3 linked regions of the Drosophila melanogaster genome follow. The protein of the gene in region 2 interacts with the protein of the main gene of each other region in a pairwise test. Each region holds a gene or a part of one and is shown on either strand. Other genes may lie near its edges.

What was found. Proteins that work in one complex are often made in the same cells at the same time.
Region 1: the proteins of CG8248 (region 2) and TMEM216 interact in a two-hybrid assay, tested with the Drosophila melanogaster proteins (one large-scale study listed by BioGRID).
Region 3: the proteins of CG8248 (region 2) and Ccdc114 interact in a two-hybrid assay, tested with the Drosophila melanogaster proteins (one large-scale study listed by BioGRID).

Annotation. Positions count from the first base shown.
Region 1 is NT_033777.3:8,714,321-8,721,866, reverse strand, and holds TMEM216 (transmembrane protein 216), read right to left. Parts: upstream 5,625-7,546; 5' UTR 5,299-5,624; intron 4,972-5,298; 5' UTR 4,743-4,971; coding exon 4,526-4,742; intron 4,019-4,525; coding exon 3,825-4,018; 3' UTR 3,496-3,824; exon of another isoform or gene 3,411-3,495; intron 2,670-3,410; exon of another isoform or gene 2,535-2,669; coding exon of another isoform or gene 2,279-2,534; intron 2,064-2,278; coding exon of another isoform or gene 1,870-2,063; 3' UTR 547-1,869; downstream 1-546. Other genes in the region: CG8136 (uncharacterized protein), read right to left, coding at 1-244, 306-327; CG11760 (uncharacterized protein), read right to left, coding at 1,870-2,063, 2,279-2,534; Cks85A (Cyclin-dependent kinase subunit 85A), read left to right, coding at 6,070-6,128, 6,199-6,430; CG8112 (uncharacterized protein), read right to left, coding at 6,691-7,546.
Region 2 is NT_033778.4:8,918,396-8,922,228, forward strand, and holds CG8248 (uncharacterized protein), read right to left. Parts: upstream 1,974-3,833; 5' UTR 1,696-1,973; coding exon 1,129-1,695; intron 1,072-1,128; coding exon 955-1,071; 3' UTR 545-954; downstream 1-544. Other genes in the region: CG34219 (uncharacterized protein), read right to left, coding at 1-137, 197-419; Spt (spitting image), read right to left, coding at 2,112-2,161, 2,225-2,326, 2,390-3,112, 3,177-3,501, 3,558-3,833.
Region 3 is NT_033777.3:16,622,189-16,626,260, forward strand, and holds Ccdc114 (Coiled-coil domain containing protein 114), read right to left. Parts: upstream 2,530-4,072; 5' UTR 2,433-2,529; coding exon 2,208-2,432; intron 2,150-2,207; coding exon 1,854-2,149; intron 1,724-1,853; coding exon 1,215-1,723; intron 1,142-1,214; coding exon 967-1,141; intron 905-966; coding exon 688-904; 3' UTR 547-687; downstream 1-546. Other genes in the region: CG14893 (uncharacterized protein), read left to right, coding at 1-262, 323-410; Fas1 (fasciclin 1), read left to right, coding at 3,924-4,028.

The DNA.
Region 1 (7,546 bases), on a different chromosome or scaffold from region 2:
GACATTATGCCCAATGCACCTTGTTCGTTGGTGGCGCTCTTTGTTTCCAACTCTTGCGCTGGCAGCTGGCAATTTTCGGAGGTAGTGTGTCCCTTGGTGGGCACATCGGTCACCTGACTTCGGTTTAGGCTGCGCGAAGGAAGCCGCCGATAATTGACCAAGGAGTCGAATGTCTCCTCCTCCTCGTTGAGCTTCCACATGACGCGGCGACTGCTACTAGACATTGAACGTCCAAACCCCTCTTCTGGAGCAAAGAACACACATAGTTTTAACAACTTAAGGATGCCACACTCGGCTTGACTCACCCGACTTGTGGTTTTTATCCATGGAGATGGCTTGAGTTTTCCTCTGACAAATTAACTTCGCCACTGGCCTGCAGCAGTTCTGGTTTTGAATTTACAGAGCTTACAAATTTGGGAGGCCTGTCTGTGTGTAGCTGAATAATATCTGAAATTTTGGAGGCACAAAACGAAATACACCTATCATACTCGAAAAGATCTTATTGAACCCACGGCCTACTAATAACAGATTCCTTTTTCTTTTTTTCGATCTTTAATATTCATTTTCATCGAGTGTATATGTTCTTTTAAATATTGTTGTCGTTATTTTATTAACTATCCGTTTTACACGCGCTTTAAAAGTATGTTAACATTTTGCGTTTAACGAAATGACATAAATATTATACAGGTAAATTATTCAACGTAGGATGTGGCTTTGGTTTTCTTTCAGCTTCTAGCTTCCAGCTGTTTGGTTTCAGTAAAATTATTTCTTTTGTTTTAAAAGCATGAGATTTGTGGACTGTTGAGAGTTTTTGTTATCGATTTGTGCGTTATTTTGCTATGAAACCACACAAAGGTCTTATCAAATTATTACACAATCTTCGGTCTAGCTTAGAAAATGTTTGTGAACATTAGTGACTAGCATTGGAGGAGCTGCAATCCTCGGATCCTATCAGGCGGGGATAATTGAGCGTGATTTAAAGGGCGTTTCGAGTTGCCAATAGGCTGAATTGGGGAGAAGTGTAATGGAGGGTTTTCGCCTAGTTTTTAACACTCTATAAATGTTTTATATGATTTAGCTAATTTGTTGTTCGCTTTCTAGTAAACGGTTGCCCGCTCGGGTTTGCATTGTTTTTAGTGACGTCTTGAAAATGTTATTTACGCTATTTGCTAGGTTTATATAAAGTAGTTTCATTAAAGTACACACATGGTCTAGACTTTTAACTGGGCTTAATTATGTTGTTCTCCGCCTTTTGAATATTGGTATGAACTACTAAACGCTGACTCTTAGTGGTAATGAATTTTTTTAATGGCCTTTCGGCCATTTGTTTTTCATGATTTTGATGCTGACTAGATTTTGTGAGACATTCCACTGATTTTTTTACAATTCTTTTTAAGATTCGAGCTATCTGTGAACTATTATAAATTATTATTTCCACACATCAAATTTGTTTTTCGGCTGTTTTTCGATATTTTTCTTTTTACAAAAAAATTTTCATCTTAAAATTGTGAAAATTATTCAAGTTTTAGGTTTTGCTTGTTGTCTTATATTGGTTCCAATTGATGCTTAAATGTTAACAATTTTTGTATATAAAACCGTTAAATATATGTATATAAGAGTGTGTGTATGTTATCATAAACCTTACTATACATAATTATTAATATGCTACATATGTGTTTTGTTTTGTTTTTTTTTTCTTTCTGTTTGGTTTCTCTTCTCCACGGCCATGAGCAATTCAGCTGCCTACTGCTTTTCAAATTCATTAAATTTCCTTACACCGCATATTATCCTTTTTCGATCTTATAGATTGCTAAACTTTCGCATGTATATTTGCTGCTAGTTGGCTGTTGGATGTTTCTGTCTATATGGCTAATCATAAGTTACTGGACGACACAGCGAGAAAACGAAGACGATGGCATACCACACCTCGGTCAGGTAAAGGGCGATCTGCAGCGTGCACAGGCAGTACTCCAGGCGCAGTCGGTAGGTCTGGAGCAGCAGTAGATAGGAGACGCCCACAAAGCAGGGGGCGGTCATGAAGACCGACAGTATGGCCGACCAGCCTGTGATAGAAAAGCAGAAGAGTTCATTAGAATCTGATTGTAAAAGCCATAGATACTATTCTATTACAATTATAAATAAGGATGATAATGAGTTAATTAGTATTTCTTAAGTCTAATGGTTTGGTTTGATTAAACGATTGATAACGCCATTGAGGATGATTCTATTGTTTTAGAATATCCTATAATTAGACCAGCCAGCAGGCGGGAGCTTCTACCTCGATCGGCCAGCGAACTCATGCGCCCCATTATCAATCGGATCGTCTCAAAGACAATGAAGCTAATCATCACCCCCGTGTCCAGGGCTAGAGTATGTCCCGTGTAGCTGAGATTGATGGCCTTCAGGAGGCCCATGGCCATCTCGCAACAGGCGAACATGCCAAAGTAGAACGAGTTGAGGTAGATCAACACCTCGTAGTTCATGCTGGGATTTGGCTTCTTCGGCACGAGCGGTGGCGGACGCTTGGGCGGCATCTTTCTGCCGGCTTAGCACCTCCTTCTGCTGCTTCTCCTGTTACCCCTCGATGTCTACGGCAAATTGGACCGATTTGATCTCCCGGATCGCTCACACGGCGGCGTTGCTCACGTTGGGCACTGTATTTATAGACTGACCATAATAATAACGCGAACCTGCCGTGCTTGGCCAATGCAGCGGCAGCGGCATCGACATCGGCGGTCTCACGGTTTGTCGCTGCGAAATGTGCTGTTTATTTGAATAATGTGCTGCTGGTCGTTGTCGCCTTTTATTTGTTTTCTCTGCTCGCTGTTTGGGTCAGCATTGGCCGGCAGATCGCCTGCCTAGAAATGTGGGGGAGAATGATTTCACTGGCGGCTAGTTGGGGGGAAAAAACTACTAAAAACTCCCTGGGCGTTATGCTCTACAGGGCCCAGGGCCATTAAATGGTTACCTTGAAATTCAGGATAGGTTTAGGGTGAATATATGAAAACCATTGTTGGAATTTTAATTATTTTTAAAAACTCAAAGCGTTATGCCTCGCTAAAGTCCCGTGAATCTCTCTCCTGTGAATCGTACAGGGCATGTTCACTAGACCAAAGACCAAACGGAGAGCCCTCTCATCTTGGCCATTACAGTCAGGCTAACTTGCCCGCAGTGGGCCGTGTATATTACATTCAAATTAGAAGTGTACATTGCACCTAGGGGACAGCAGCGGTGTTGCACGAGCCGTGCAGTTCGCATATAATTTTAGACCATCAGAGCCGTATAAAAATACCAGAACCGAGCGGGTCCGAGGAGCAACTGCGCCAGCAGGGAGGCAACGCCACAAAGGCCGGGCAAAAGAATGCAACCAAGAAATGCAAATTAAATGCAGCTTTGCTTTTGATAGAATCGGACGCGTCGTGTTTCGCTGCGATGTGATTTCCGCGGGCGCGAATGATCTGTGCGGATTATATAAGTTTATAAAGGTTCACGTACCTTGTTGAAAGTCCTCCTCAACTGCCAGCCATTGGGTATGTTATCGGGTTGTCTTGGCACGGATTCCTAGGAGGTCTAGTAGGATCTAGATTTTTTGTTTTGTTTTTATGTGCGGTGGCTTAGTGTGCATTTAAGTGGCTTAGTTTTGAGGCCTTGGCGAATCGTTTGATGTGAAATTGCCAGAGGAAAGTGTTTCGTCTTCGTCGTAGTCGTCGCTCGGCTGTGGATGCTTCTACTCCTTCTCCTCCAGGTGGGAGTGTTAGTGCTGGCTTGGTCTTGATCTCGATCTTGGTCGTTGACGTGGCGGCGGCAACGCGGCTTATCAACTGCTAGGTGTATGTGACGGGGCGACACATTGTACAAATGAATATGCTGGCGTAGACTAGTTCAGCACCTTGTAGGGTGATCATTAAGGCACTCAGAATAATTTCGAGTTTGAGAACAAAGGTTTGAAAACAACACAAGTAGATAACAATAGCAAGACTGGGCAGTGTTAATATTACGGATGCGGTTGCTTGCCAGCCTGCAAAGAGAGAAAAACAAGGAAAATGTTAGCTACAGATGCACGGAAAATCGTATAGTTCGTCTACTTGTTTATAATTAAGTGTATTCGATTGAAAGTGATTCAGTGTTTTAAAGTATTATACTAATAATTTCATGTTTACACATTGCGATAATTAATATTAACAGCTCCAATTGCTTTTCCAATAACTCATTTCGATGATTCGCTTTGATAGATTTCCTTTGCATATTGCTTAATGTGCCAGAAGGGCGCCTTTCCCCTGCCACCATAAAACGCGTGTTTTCATCCGGGGTGATGACCATAATTACGCATACGCCGAGTGGGCTACATCATACATATATGTATGTATGCCCGTCCAAACGTTTATGGGTTATGGCCCCGGAGGTAGGGGGATGGCATGAAATGGGCATTGTGACCGGGCAAACAAATAATTTCGCCATGTCATCATCGCTGCCGGTGGACTTTTCCCACCCTTGCAGTAACATGGGGATCATGGGGATTACTCACCACGATCGCTTAGACTGCTCTTCCGCCCGAAGACAATGCGCACGGTCTCGATGATGCACAGTGAGAGCAGGATGCTGGCCTCCCGGGACAACGCGTTCTCGCCGTAGTTTAGATTAATCGCCTTAAGAACGCCCACGCCCACTTCGAAGGCGGCGTACATGCCAAAGTAGAACGAGTTCAGATACATAAGTATCTCATAGATGAGGCTGGCGTTCATGGTGCCCGCTACTGCGGAAACGAGTCCGTAACCGTTGCCGTATCCGTGTCCTCCTGCGTGGCGACCAGTTCCTCAAGGCGGCAGGTGCGTCGCCTCTAAATGATTGGATGTCACCTGGGCAGTTTGGAGCAGCTCCTCCCGCTTTTCCACTGGCAGCAGCAGGTGTTTCGGCTTCTCTACGCCAGCATTGGGACCTTTGGGCGGTACGTGGTGAGTGATACCTGCTGGACTGAAAAATATTTGCTAATTGCGGTCTGCTCGTATTTACCAATGCGCGCATACATACAGTCAAACTTCCTCAACTAGAACTTCATAAAATCAATCGAATTTATAGGTGGTTTTGCTGTGCCTATGTATCTACATATGTACATTGTATGCATTTATTTACTAGCATACCGTAACGGTAAATTCATTAAGCGACAATAGGGAGTACATATACATAAAGGTTTTAGGTTCTTAGAACCCATTTTCTTCATCACTAAAGGACACTTTTTATTGTAGTAGTAAAGTCGTATCTACTTATGGAAGTTTGACTGTATTTACGTATCGTCCTCACCTCTTCCACTGCTTTTTCTTCTTGTTCCCGTTCTACTTCGCCTTTCCTCTTCTTCTAGCTGCTCCACCGTTACTGTCTAAAGTCCCGTTGTCATGGGAGTAAGTGGATGTTATGTTATGTATATGAAATGCACGCAGGCGACAACTCTATGCTAATATTAAGTACATGCGTTCACGTTTATTTATACGCGTTGTTGTGCGTTGTTGTTGCCCGCTGGCCTGGCTGGTTGTTGTTGTTGTTGGTTTGTTGGCAAGAGACGAGGGGCTTATATAAAAAGGAAAGGAACCTCAAACGCACATGCACAAATGTGGCCATGGGCGAGTAACGGAGAAATTGCCGATTGCATTTGGAAAATGTGCGAGCCTGCGAGTTCCGGTCACACTGGAAATCACATATTATCCAATTGAGTTTTTCATTCGCTAAATATGTTAACATTTTCTAACAGCATCTTTTTACAAAGTACTCGTTTTTTTAACAAAATGGCTTTAAAATGGCTTTAAACATTGCAAAAATATTGTTATACAGAAAAAAGTTTATGTTCAATATATTAAAGCCCGCTAAGATCGTGCCATTAAAAACAGTACATTTGAGTTTACCGCCAAAGGTGCTGTTAACTGGACAGCTGATAACCAAATCGATAACTTTATGTTCGATACGTGCAGCGATAACAATAGTATTTAGAATCGAATCAGTTGTGGCATATCTATCTGAATTTATTGACCTATTTTGGTAAAATTGCTTAATTTACCTCAGGTTTTCTGGCTTTTCGCAATGCCGGCCGATCAAATTCAATACTCAGAGAAGTACTTCGACGACAACTTTGAATACAGGTACGTTCAACTTGCGTTTCAGCATCCGTGAACTGTTTGTTTACACACAAACCACTTTCCCTCCCTGCAGGCATGTTATCTTGCCACCGGATTTGGCCAAACATGTGCCGAAGGCTCATCTGATGACCGAGACGGAGTGGCGCAACCTGGGCGTGCAGCAGAGCCCCGGCTGGGTGCACTACATGGTCCACGCGCCGGAGCCGCATGTGATTCTATTCCGACGCAAACGCATTCCGGCAGAGGACGCTCCACAGGTGGCAGCCGCTAATGCGGCTCAGGCCATCGCGAATCTCTGCGGTTAGGCGGAGGATGCCATGCCGCCGAGGAATGCTCTTCCAAGGACGCACTCGTCAATGCTCACGTAGTATTTCATAAGTTAGCATCAGGCAGCCTGATGTAAAATAAGAAACCATAGCTTTAGGGTTCAGCTGGGAAGTTCAAAGACACGAAACGAACTGAAGACATCGTTTCTGTTAATTTCATTAAGTTTATTTACCTAAAATACAAATCGAAGCGTACGCCCTGTGTACAGACAGTTTAAAAGTAGTGTTTAACTAATTGACTAATTGTAGCAGCGCCATACCGCCGGCAGCAGGCGATACGTCCAACTCTCGTTGCTTAGGTTGCAGTTCTTTAGGGCGTAATGCTCCATGGCGTATAGTGAGATCAGCGTGGCATTTCCCAGGATCAGAGAGAACCACAGAAAGATGTTGCCCATCACTTTTGGAGCACTCCGCATTAGGAATACCAAGGCAACACCCACGACCCCAAAGAAGAAGAACATCACTGGGAAGAACATTTGCAGGGCAAAGCCGAGAACCTGCTCATGGACCACAGCGGAGATCATGAACACTGCCAGCGAGGCGGCCACCTTGGAACCTCGGAACACATGAGTGTACATATCCTTGTACACGTACTCGTACAGCCAGTCGTGCACGACGACATTCCAGTTTCTGTAGTAGCCATCGTAAGTGTGCGACGTCCACCAGTCCTTGTAGAACATTCGATCACCGAAGCGTAGCAGCTCCGACGTGAAGTTCAGCCACGAGTGCAGGATTAGGTAGAAGCCGCACAGAAAGATCACCGCGCTGGGCAGCATCATGCCGAACAGCTTGAGGATCAGCTGGGAGGGTCCCATTGGTTCCAGTCCGTACTGTCCGAAGTGCTCGTGGATGTGCCGCTCATGGATGAACGCGTACAGGAAGGCTATGGCCACCACCTCCAACAGTCGATTCAGGGCAAACTTCCAGCGGATGTGGGAGGTGCGCGGGTAGCTGTCTCGGTAGATAAGCGTGGGTGCAAACAAAAAGTACGTGTAACAGCTCAGCGGCGGCACAAAGGGTCGCTCACTGCCTTCTTTCTCCTCCTCCGCATCTTCCTTCTTGGCCTTGCCATTCAGAACGCGCTCAGCATTGTAC
Region 2 (3,833 bases):
ACTGACTTCTGGTGGTGGCCCAGTGAGGCTTATCACCGAGCCGCGCCTGGCCATTTCCGGAGGATGTGGACTCGATACGTGCACCGTTTGATAGTTAATGCTGATCGGAACCGAGGAGCGACGGTTAAGACGAGGCTCTAGAGAAGAAAGTAGTTGGTCTTATGGGACGTGTCACTTTGTTGTGGGGACTCTTTACCGAAACGGGCTTCTCCGGATCCCGGCTTATGCGGATGCTGCTGACTGGGTCGGCTGGCCAAAGGAGATACCACCCTGTAGTGATACTCCTGAACCAGCGGAACGGACCTGGTGAAGCCTCCCTCATCGTTTAGCGTGTACTTGAAGCGATCCACAGATACGGAACGCTCCTCGCTGATTATATGCTTGCGCCGGAAGATGGGGGACTCATCCACTTTTGGCATGCATTGGGGAAATGTAGAGCGGTCAGTTTGGGATTCGGGGTGAGAGAGGATCGCAGAGGATTGCGTAAAAGCCCAATCGAACGGAGGAAATGAAACGCAAGCTAACACGGCTACGTATGTAAATTGATCACAGGAAAGCACATAGTAATTGATTTATTTTAGGATTACGTACACTTAGGACAGTAATATACATTCGAGTATGTACAACCTTATATTCGGATTCAGTACAGTTTCACAGATAGGTGAAGAGGAGGTAAACAGTGGAGGTCGTTCAAAAACACAGATATCAAACGCATAATCGAGCCCGAAAAGTGCGATGTACAGATGTATAGATGTATAGAGATTGAGGACAGACGAGAGATACACAATACACAACAATACATTTTCCGAAAAAGTCAGAAAACTGGTGCTTTAGAGTAGAGAAGATTGGCTAGTTCAGTACATAGTGGTAGATACATTTAGATTTATAGGATAACAATTCACTTGATCCCTCGTTAACACGGTGTAATAGGCTAGGCACCTGGCCCCCAGCGAGCTAAAACTTTGGCAAAGATTTTGGTGAAATACCTTTTGATGACCGGCGATCCTGCTTGTGGATCTGGGCATAAGATTGCAGCGAGCACCGGCGCAGTCGCTTGTCCCCTTTGTTCTGCTGCCGAAGAAGGATTATTCACGTGGCAATAGGGAATGGAATGCGGGTTATCCTTACCGACTTGTAGTGCTGGTTGATGTCCGAGGCGGCCTTCAGAAGCAGATAGACAAACACAAGGGCGAACAGGTAAATAATGGGCTCCGCTGTGTTACTCTTCTTGCCAACTTCCTTCTTCTTGTGCCCCTCCGGGGACTTTATCAAACGACGAGGTTGCTTGCTGACCCCATTTCCAGTGCCGTTTTTGGTTCTCTTCGTGGGCCTGCCTTGGGATCTTCTTGAAACTGCCTGATTCCGATTGGATTCCTTTCCGAAAACGTCCAACCTCTGGCACGATGCATCTGGAGCGGCGACATCCAATTCGGCGTCGGCCATGGCTTCCGGCTGGGCATGGTGCAGGTCGAAGGCAGCCACGCCCGGCTTAAAATAGTGCCTGTAGTTGCGCTGCATCCCGGCTACCATGAGATACACAGTGCAGAGCACCACGAGGATCCCCAGCGGCACCACATGATGGTTATTTGTATCCGTGTCCCTACTCACGGCACTTGCTTTTCGGTGTTTGGGAGAACAAGGCGGTGGCCCAATCTCTTCGGACAGAGCAAATTTATCGCCGGCCAGAGATTTCATAGCCGAGTGCTTACTGTTTACCAAGCAATTACCGTGTGTATCTGTTGACTGCGAGTCCTGGCTGCCGCTCGTGGTGGAAAATCGATAGGGATTGCCCACACAGCTTCACATGTTGGGTTGAACGAGGGTGTCCAGTGCAATTGAAAGGTCAATCGACCGAGGGAGATGCGCTGACAAGTGTGCTATGTGTCTATATATTTATTGGAACCTATTGCTCTACTTTTACAACAGTCTAAACTGTTTCCGATGCGATACTCTTCGCCACCCGAGGAACATACATGTTTGTGTGTATGCCTGACCTGACCTATGACATTCAGGTGGCGACGTACGTTAAGTTTGAATTGCAAAATCTCTTAAATGGTATGAACTTAAACACTAAACTAAATAAAAAGTTATGTACAAATGGTTGAAATGCTTCAGCATTCAAAGTATCCATTGGACATTCCAGTGAGTTGGTCGAGTATATCTAAAAATATACGAAATTTAATGGAAAAACTTATAAAATAGGAAATGTAATCATTTTAGGTACCTGTGATTTGTAGATCCGTAGACTGATTACTCATGGAGGTGTATAGCTTTCTGCTTTCAGCTATATTCTGCCGCTTGAACATGACAGTCCGTAAACTTTCTCCTGAAAATAGCATTCAAAACATTGGTAACCTTACCAAATTTATCTAAACATCAGCCGACTTACTTCTCAGAACATTTCCATGGGGTTTTGCCTTATCCGATTTAATGTCCAAGGTATTTGTGGGTAGCTTGTTGTCCGTTCGTCTAGTTACTCTATTCCTACGCTCTGTGTCGTAGAGGATACTGCCGCTTCGGGCTGTTTTATAGCCAGTGAAATGGGTTTCGTCTTCATTTACCCCCTTGGTATCATCAGCTAAAAGGGGAGCCAGGGGAATAGGAAGTTCCTCCTCTTGTTTACCAGCTCCCAGGGAGCCGTGCAATTTGCGCAAGATCGTGCGCAAGATCTTGAAGCGCTTGAGGATTCTCTGCGGCTCCACCTGGGATGCGCACATCAAAATAGCCTTGCACTCGCGCAGTACCCGGATGAACTGCTGGTAGTACTCTTCCCCCAATCGGTCCTGCGTTTCGCTTAGACCCTTTCGGTTGACTTCCAGCTGAAAGTGCTCGACTAGCAGCAAAGAGATTTGAACCAAGTCCTCCAATCGCTGCTTATCGAAAAGCTTTTCCGTTGCACTTATCCCTGAGGTCAGTATCTCCAGGCAACAACCAACGAGGGCGCGGCTGTCGATGATCTCCTGAAGCGCTGCCTTGAACTTGGCCACCTCCTCGTTAAAGTGCTGCTCTAGGATGTCCGAGTGCAAATCGGAACCATGGGCCTGCAGTGAAGGTATCAGAGTGGTGTCCAGTGATTCAAAGGAGGCCAGACAGCTGCGCATTATGGTTTTCACTGAAAAGGAATTGGTACTGGAGTTAATTGCGTTTTTTTTTATAATTATATATAATTATTATACTTTTCAAGTTGGGCGCAAAGGAAATGGCAAAAATGCCTATCTGGGTGGCGCGATCTATGTTCACATCAAAGTCCGCTATGAACTCATCGGCCAGATCATCATTATCTGGGCTGTTCCTTAACAGCGCTCTAATTTTGTCTACCGAAAACTTCTCGAAGTCCAGGAAGCATGTGAATACCAAGCGCAAAAGCGCATCGTTGATAAAGTCCTCCAATTGGTAAATTGCCTGTTCCATGGTCATGGCCCGCAGCTTAAGGGTGGACAGGTAGTTGGCACTGAATGACTCCTTGCACTCCTCCTGAAAGGCATTGCACTCCCGGATGACCTAGAGCACAAATGAGGGGAATAAATAAGGGGATACTGCAGAAGATGTACACCCACCTTTTGGCACAAGGCACTGAGAGCCCTCTTGTCCTGAGACAAAGCCACATTGGCGAATCCCAGAGATTGACCCAAGATCAAATCAATGTTGGCGCGCAACTTCTGGCTGAGTGGAAGGACTTCCTTGGGAGTCTTTGGACAGTTGGAGGTATCGGTGTTTTCCTCACTGTGCGAGGTGAACTGCGCCAAACAATCCAATGCGCCATCCACCAGCTTAAGGAACGAGCGCTCCGGAGCTACTGCTTCGGAACTCGATTCTTCGCTGTAAAGATGCAT
Region 3 (4,072 bases), on a different chromosome or scaffold from region 2:
TGGTGAAGCTGTACAGAAGTATACATGCCAACATTGCGGTACTAGAGCACTTTATGAACAACAGTTGGCACTTTGAGACGAAAAGCACGGATCGGCTGAGAGTGATGATGTCTCCGGAGGATCGGCGATTGTACAACTTCGATATGGAGACTTTGGACTGGAAAGAGTACTTCCGGAAGGCCCTCTTCGGCATGCGACTTTACCTGACCAAGGAACCTCCAACGCAGGAATCTCTTGAACAGGGTCGGCGACTCTTTTATCGGTATGTTCTTGTGGAAAGATGTTCTATATTTGCATAAAATGATCTCATATACATTATTAGATTGAAGATCCTGCACTACAGCTTTGTGACCCTACTCTGTGTCATAGCTGGCTTCTTATTGTGGACGCTTGTCAGGTTATTTATTTAATCTAATGGCCTCAATCAGAACTCGAACTATTAAAAACCTTGGGTGTTCATTGAATAGACTGTAGTTTATAGGTTTAAGCAATAAACGGACAGTTTAAATTAAACAAATAAGATCGAATTTGAATCGTCCAATCGGATTTCCATTTAACTAGCTTGTTGTAAACTTCGGCAGCATGTATTTCATATATTTATAAGATTAGGATATAAGTTTTATCGGTATGTGTAGATACTTTGGTTATCATTTAATATTTTGGAGAAAAATGAATGCCTACTAATTCTTAGTTTTTAGTTTTCGCCGATTCCCGTATGTTGAATTTGGGAACACGATCCTTTCGGGCCAGTATTTTGTTGGAGTTATCCTCGATATTGATGGCGCTGATGATCAGGTTGACCCGGCGTTCAATGACGCCAATGAAAAGCTTCACATTGTGAACTGTCAAAAAGGTTTTGGTACTGAGCACATTAAGGATAGGAGCATCGTCACAGGCCAATTGTCTAAAATTAAAATGGAATTTGGTAGACAGTCAATAGTAAGGATATATACTCGCAGATTGCACCTGAATATATCCTCGATGCCCTTGAGAAGCTGTTCTAATCTGATGCTCAGGGTTCGCTTCCTTTCTCTGGTCTCCTCCGCCAGCTGCTCGATCCGCTCCTTCTCGGCATTTAGATAGTCAAGTGCCTCGGTCTTAAGCTTCAACTCCTTCTCGGTCTGCTCCGATTTCTGGCGCTCTGTTTGGATTATTATGTACAAATTTTAGTATAAAGACTAGTCTATAGCCTAATTCAGAATCCAACAACACACCTATTTCATCTTGGAGCTCCTGAGTGGAATCGTTGAGTACTTCAACCTCGTGACTCAGTTCGTTTACATAGTTGAAAAGGGCAAAGTTCTCGTCCTCCTGACGCTTGAACTGGGCCACCAGTCGGTCCGCGTCCTCCTCGCCGTAGAGCAACTTGATCTTCTCGATGATCTCCTTGTACTCCAGAAGCTGCCTCTCGTAGGTCTCCTTCTGACTCTGCTTCTTGTCCAGCTCGCGCTGCTCCAGCTCCGGATTGAGGCGCTTTTGTCCCTTGATGTCGAAGAACTTCTGCAACTTGGCGTCGTGCTCCAGGCGGCGCTGCATCTCGCGCATCTCCTGGATGTGCATTACCTTGTCGTTCTCGTTGCGATCCTTTAGGACGGTCAGCTTGTTGCACAGCTCTTCTCTCTGGTCGAAAGCCAGTGTCGACTGGTCTATGAGATCCATGATGAACTTCTTGCCCTCGTTAAACTGGGTTACCATCGACTGCCACATGTCATTGAAGTTTGCCCTGGAGTGGAGTCGAAACGCATTAGCTCAATTCGGTATAAAAACCTAATAATATGGAGAGCACCTAGTTGACTTTTCATAAACCTAGTGTGTATTTTATAGATTGTATATATCTAGCGAGAAATGCTCACCGATCCTGCAACATGTGGTTTATGGCGTCCCTCATCTTGCTGTTTTCAGTGAGCACATCGCTGCATTTTTTGTTGACGACATCCAGGCGGTTCTCCAACTTGACCACGCTCTTCTGCACCTTGCAGATGGTGTCCTTGTAGCAGTTGTCGGGCACTTCGTTGCGCCGCAGGGCATCAATCTCCTTTTCCATTTTCCGGATGTGGCCCTCCAGTTCCCAGAGATTGGTTCGCTCATTCTGGAGCACCCTCTGCAAATCCGCCTGCTGTTCCTGCAAAGTGCCCAGGTGCTTCTCTCTCTGAAACCGATGTAAACCTTTTATATGTGGCTGACTAGTCCATTAAGTGGATATCTACATTGGTGTTCTTTCGCGCATGAGTACCACCTTCTAGAGTCTTGATCTCCTCCTTCAGCTTCTGGTGCTCCACTTGCAGTACGTTGATCATGTGATTCTGCTTCTTCAGGCGCTTGGCCTTCTCCTCGAGGAGACCCCGAAGGTCCAGCTGGAGACCCCGATGCTGGCGTTGCAGCCTCTGCAGCTCGGCAGTTGCCAACTGATCCAGCTCGCTTTGGTCAGTCATCGTTATTGGCTTTCTGAATTCGGTCTTTGCAATGGTATTGTCAAAACTGATAATGATATTAATTTGATTTCAATAGCAAACAAGCGTTGCTGGTGGCAAGTTGCTTAGTAACGGCGTGGTTTATCGAAGACTTTTACCATTTACTTAAAGTAAGAAGAACCAAATAGGTACACTGCTTGTTAAAATTCAATGTTATCTCCTTAGAAAAGTAAAAAAATAAGTGCTTGAAAATTATAACCGGTTCAATTTGGAATAAAATCTTTCAAACAGTAGAGACTCTGCTTAGCGGAGTTATCCACCGCATTCTGTCGTTGCCACATTTTGCGAAACGGTTAAAATGATTATTTATGCTTTTAAACGAAAAATGAGAAAATTTAAAGCAGTCTTCTTGTAATAATAATAAGATTGGATAAACAGACATTATTATAAATCTGACACAGAAGAGCAACGCAGCGCTCGATTTGTACTAATATTTTACCTCTAACAAGATTCGGAAAAGCATAAAAAGCACATAAATAAGAGTCACCGCCAAAGACATGCACAAATAAATATAAATGTTAAGCGATTTATTAACAGTGCACAGTGTTGCGATTTGAAACATCGACAGCTATCGATAACACTCGTTATCGTCACCACACGCTCGGCTTAAACCTGTTCTCCGCTTTTCGTTTTAATTCGAAAAAAACGTTCGAGCGTGGCGCACGTTGCGATTCCTCCGACTGGTACTTGCTCCCCTTATATTGAAACTCTGTGGAAAATCTATACTGTGCATAGGGCATAACTCTAAAATAGCTGCACGGCCCATTTCGCTGCCCTTGCTATTGATTTACCACCGCGCTGCGTTCGTTTGTGTGTGCTACTTAAAGAATTTGTGTGTTTTCCAAGTTTGGTCCGTGGACATTGCATAATTTCTGCGGCGGCCGTTAATGTTAATTCCTGCAGCCCGAGTTTCCGAGAATTACGCAGAATAAAGACCAGAGAGAAAACTATAAAATCGAAAACAGAAAAAAGTGCCGCAGCAGCGAAATGCAAAGGCGCATAATAATTAAACACACAGCGACGGAATGAAGAAAAAATAATACACAATAAGCGCAGCTTTGTTTCTAGTTAAATTGCGTTTGTGTTGTGCTTGCCGATTCCTCGGTGGTCCGTTTTTCGCTTGTTGTTCTATGTGACATAACGGAACTCTGGGCAAAAGCGAACAGGAAGCAGCGATAACCTTGCAAAAACAAAGAAAATACCAAGGAGGACAAAAAGCATGCCAAGCATATATCTGTGAAATAATATTTTCTTTTCCGAGGAAATGCTGTTTGTCGTCGGCTAACTGTTGTTTGCCTTTGAATTGCAGATCTTAATCGTAGAGCAGCACTCACACCAGCACACGCCCCCCGCAAAACAGCACACACAGCCACACTCACAAACGACGTACACTGCCAGCGCATAAACAAGTGCTGTTGTGGTTGTTGTTGCTGCTGCTGCTCGTCCGCTAAAATGCTGAACGCTGCAGCGCTGCTTTTGGCGCTGCTCTGCGCCGCGAACGCAGCCGCCGCCGCCGATTTGGCGGACAAATTGCGCGATGATTCGGAACTCTCTCAGGTGAGTCAGAAGAAGAAGAAGAAGCGAATAACGAGAACGTGGAG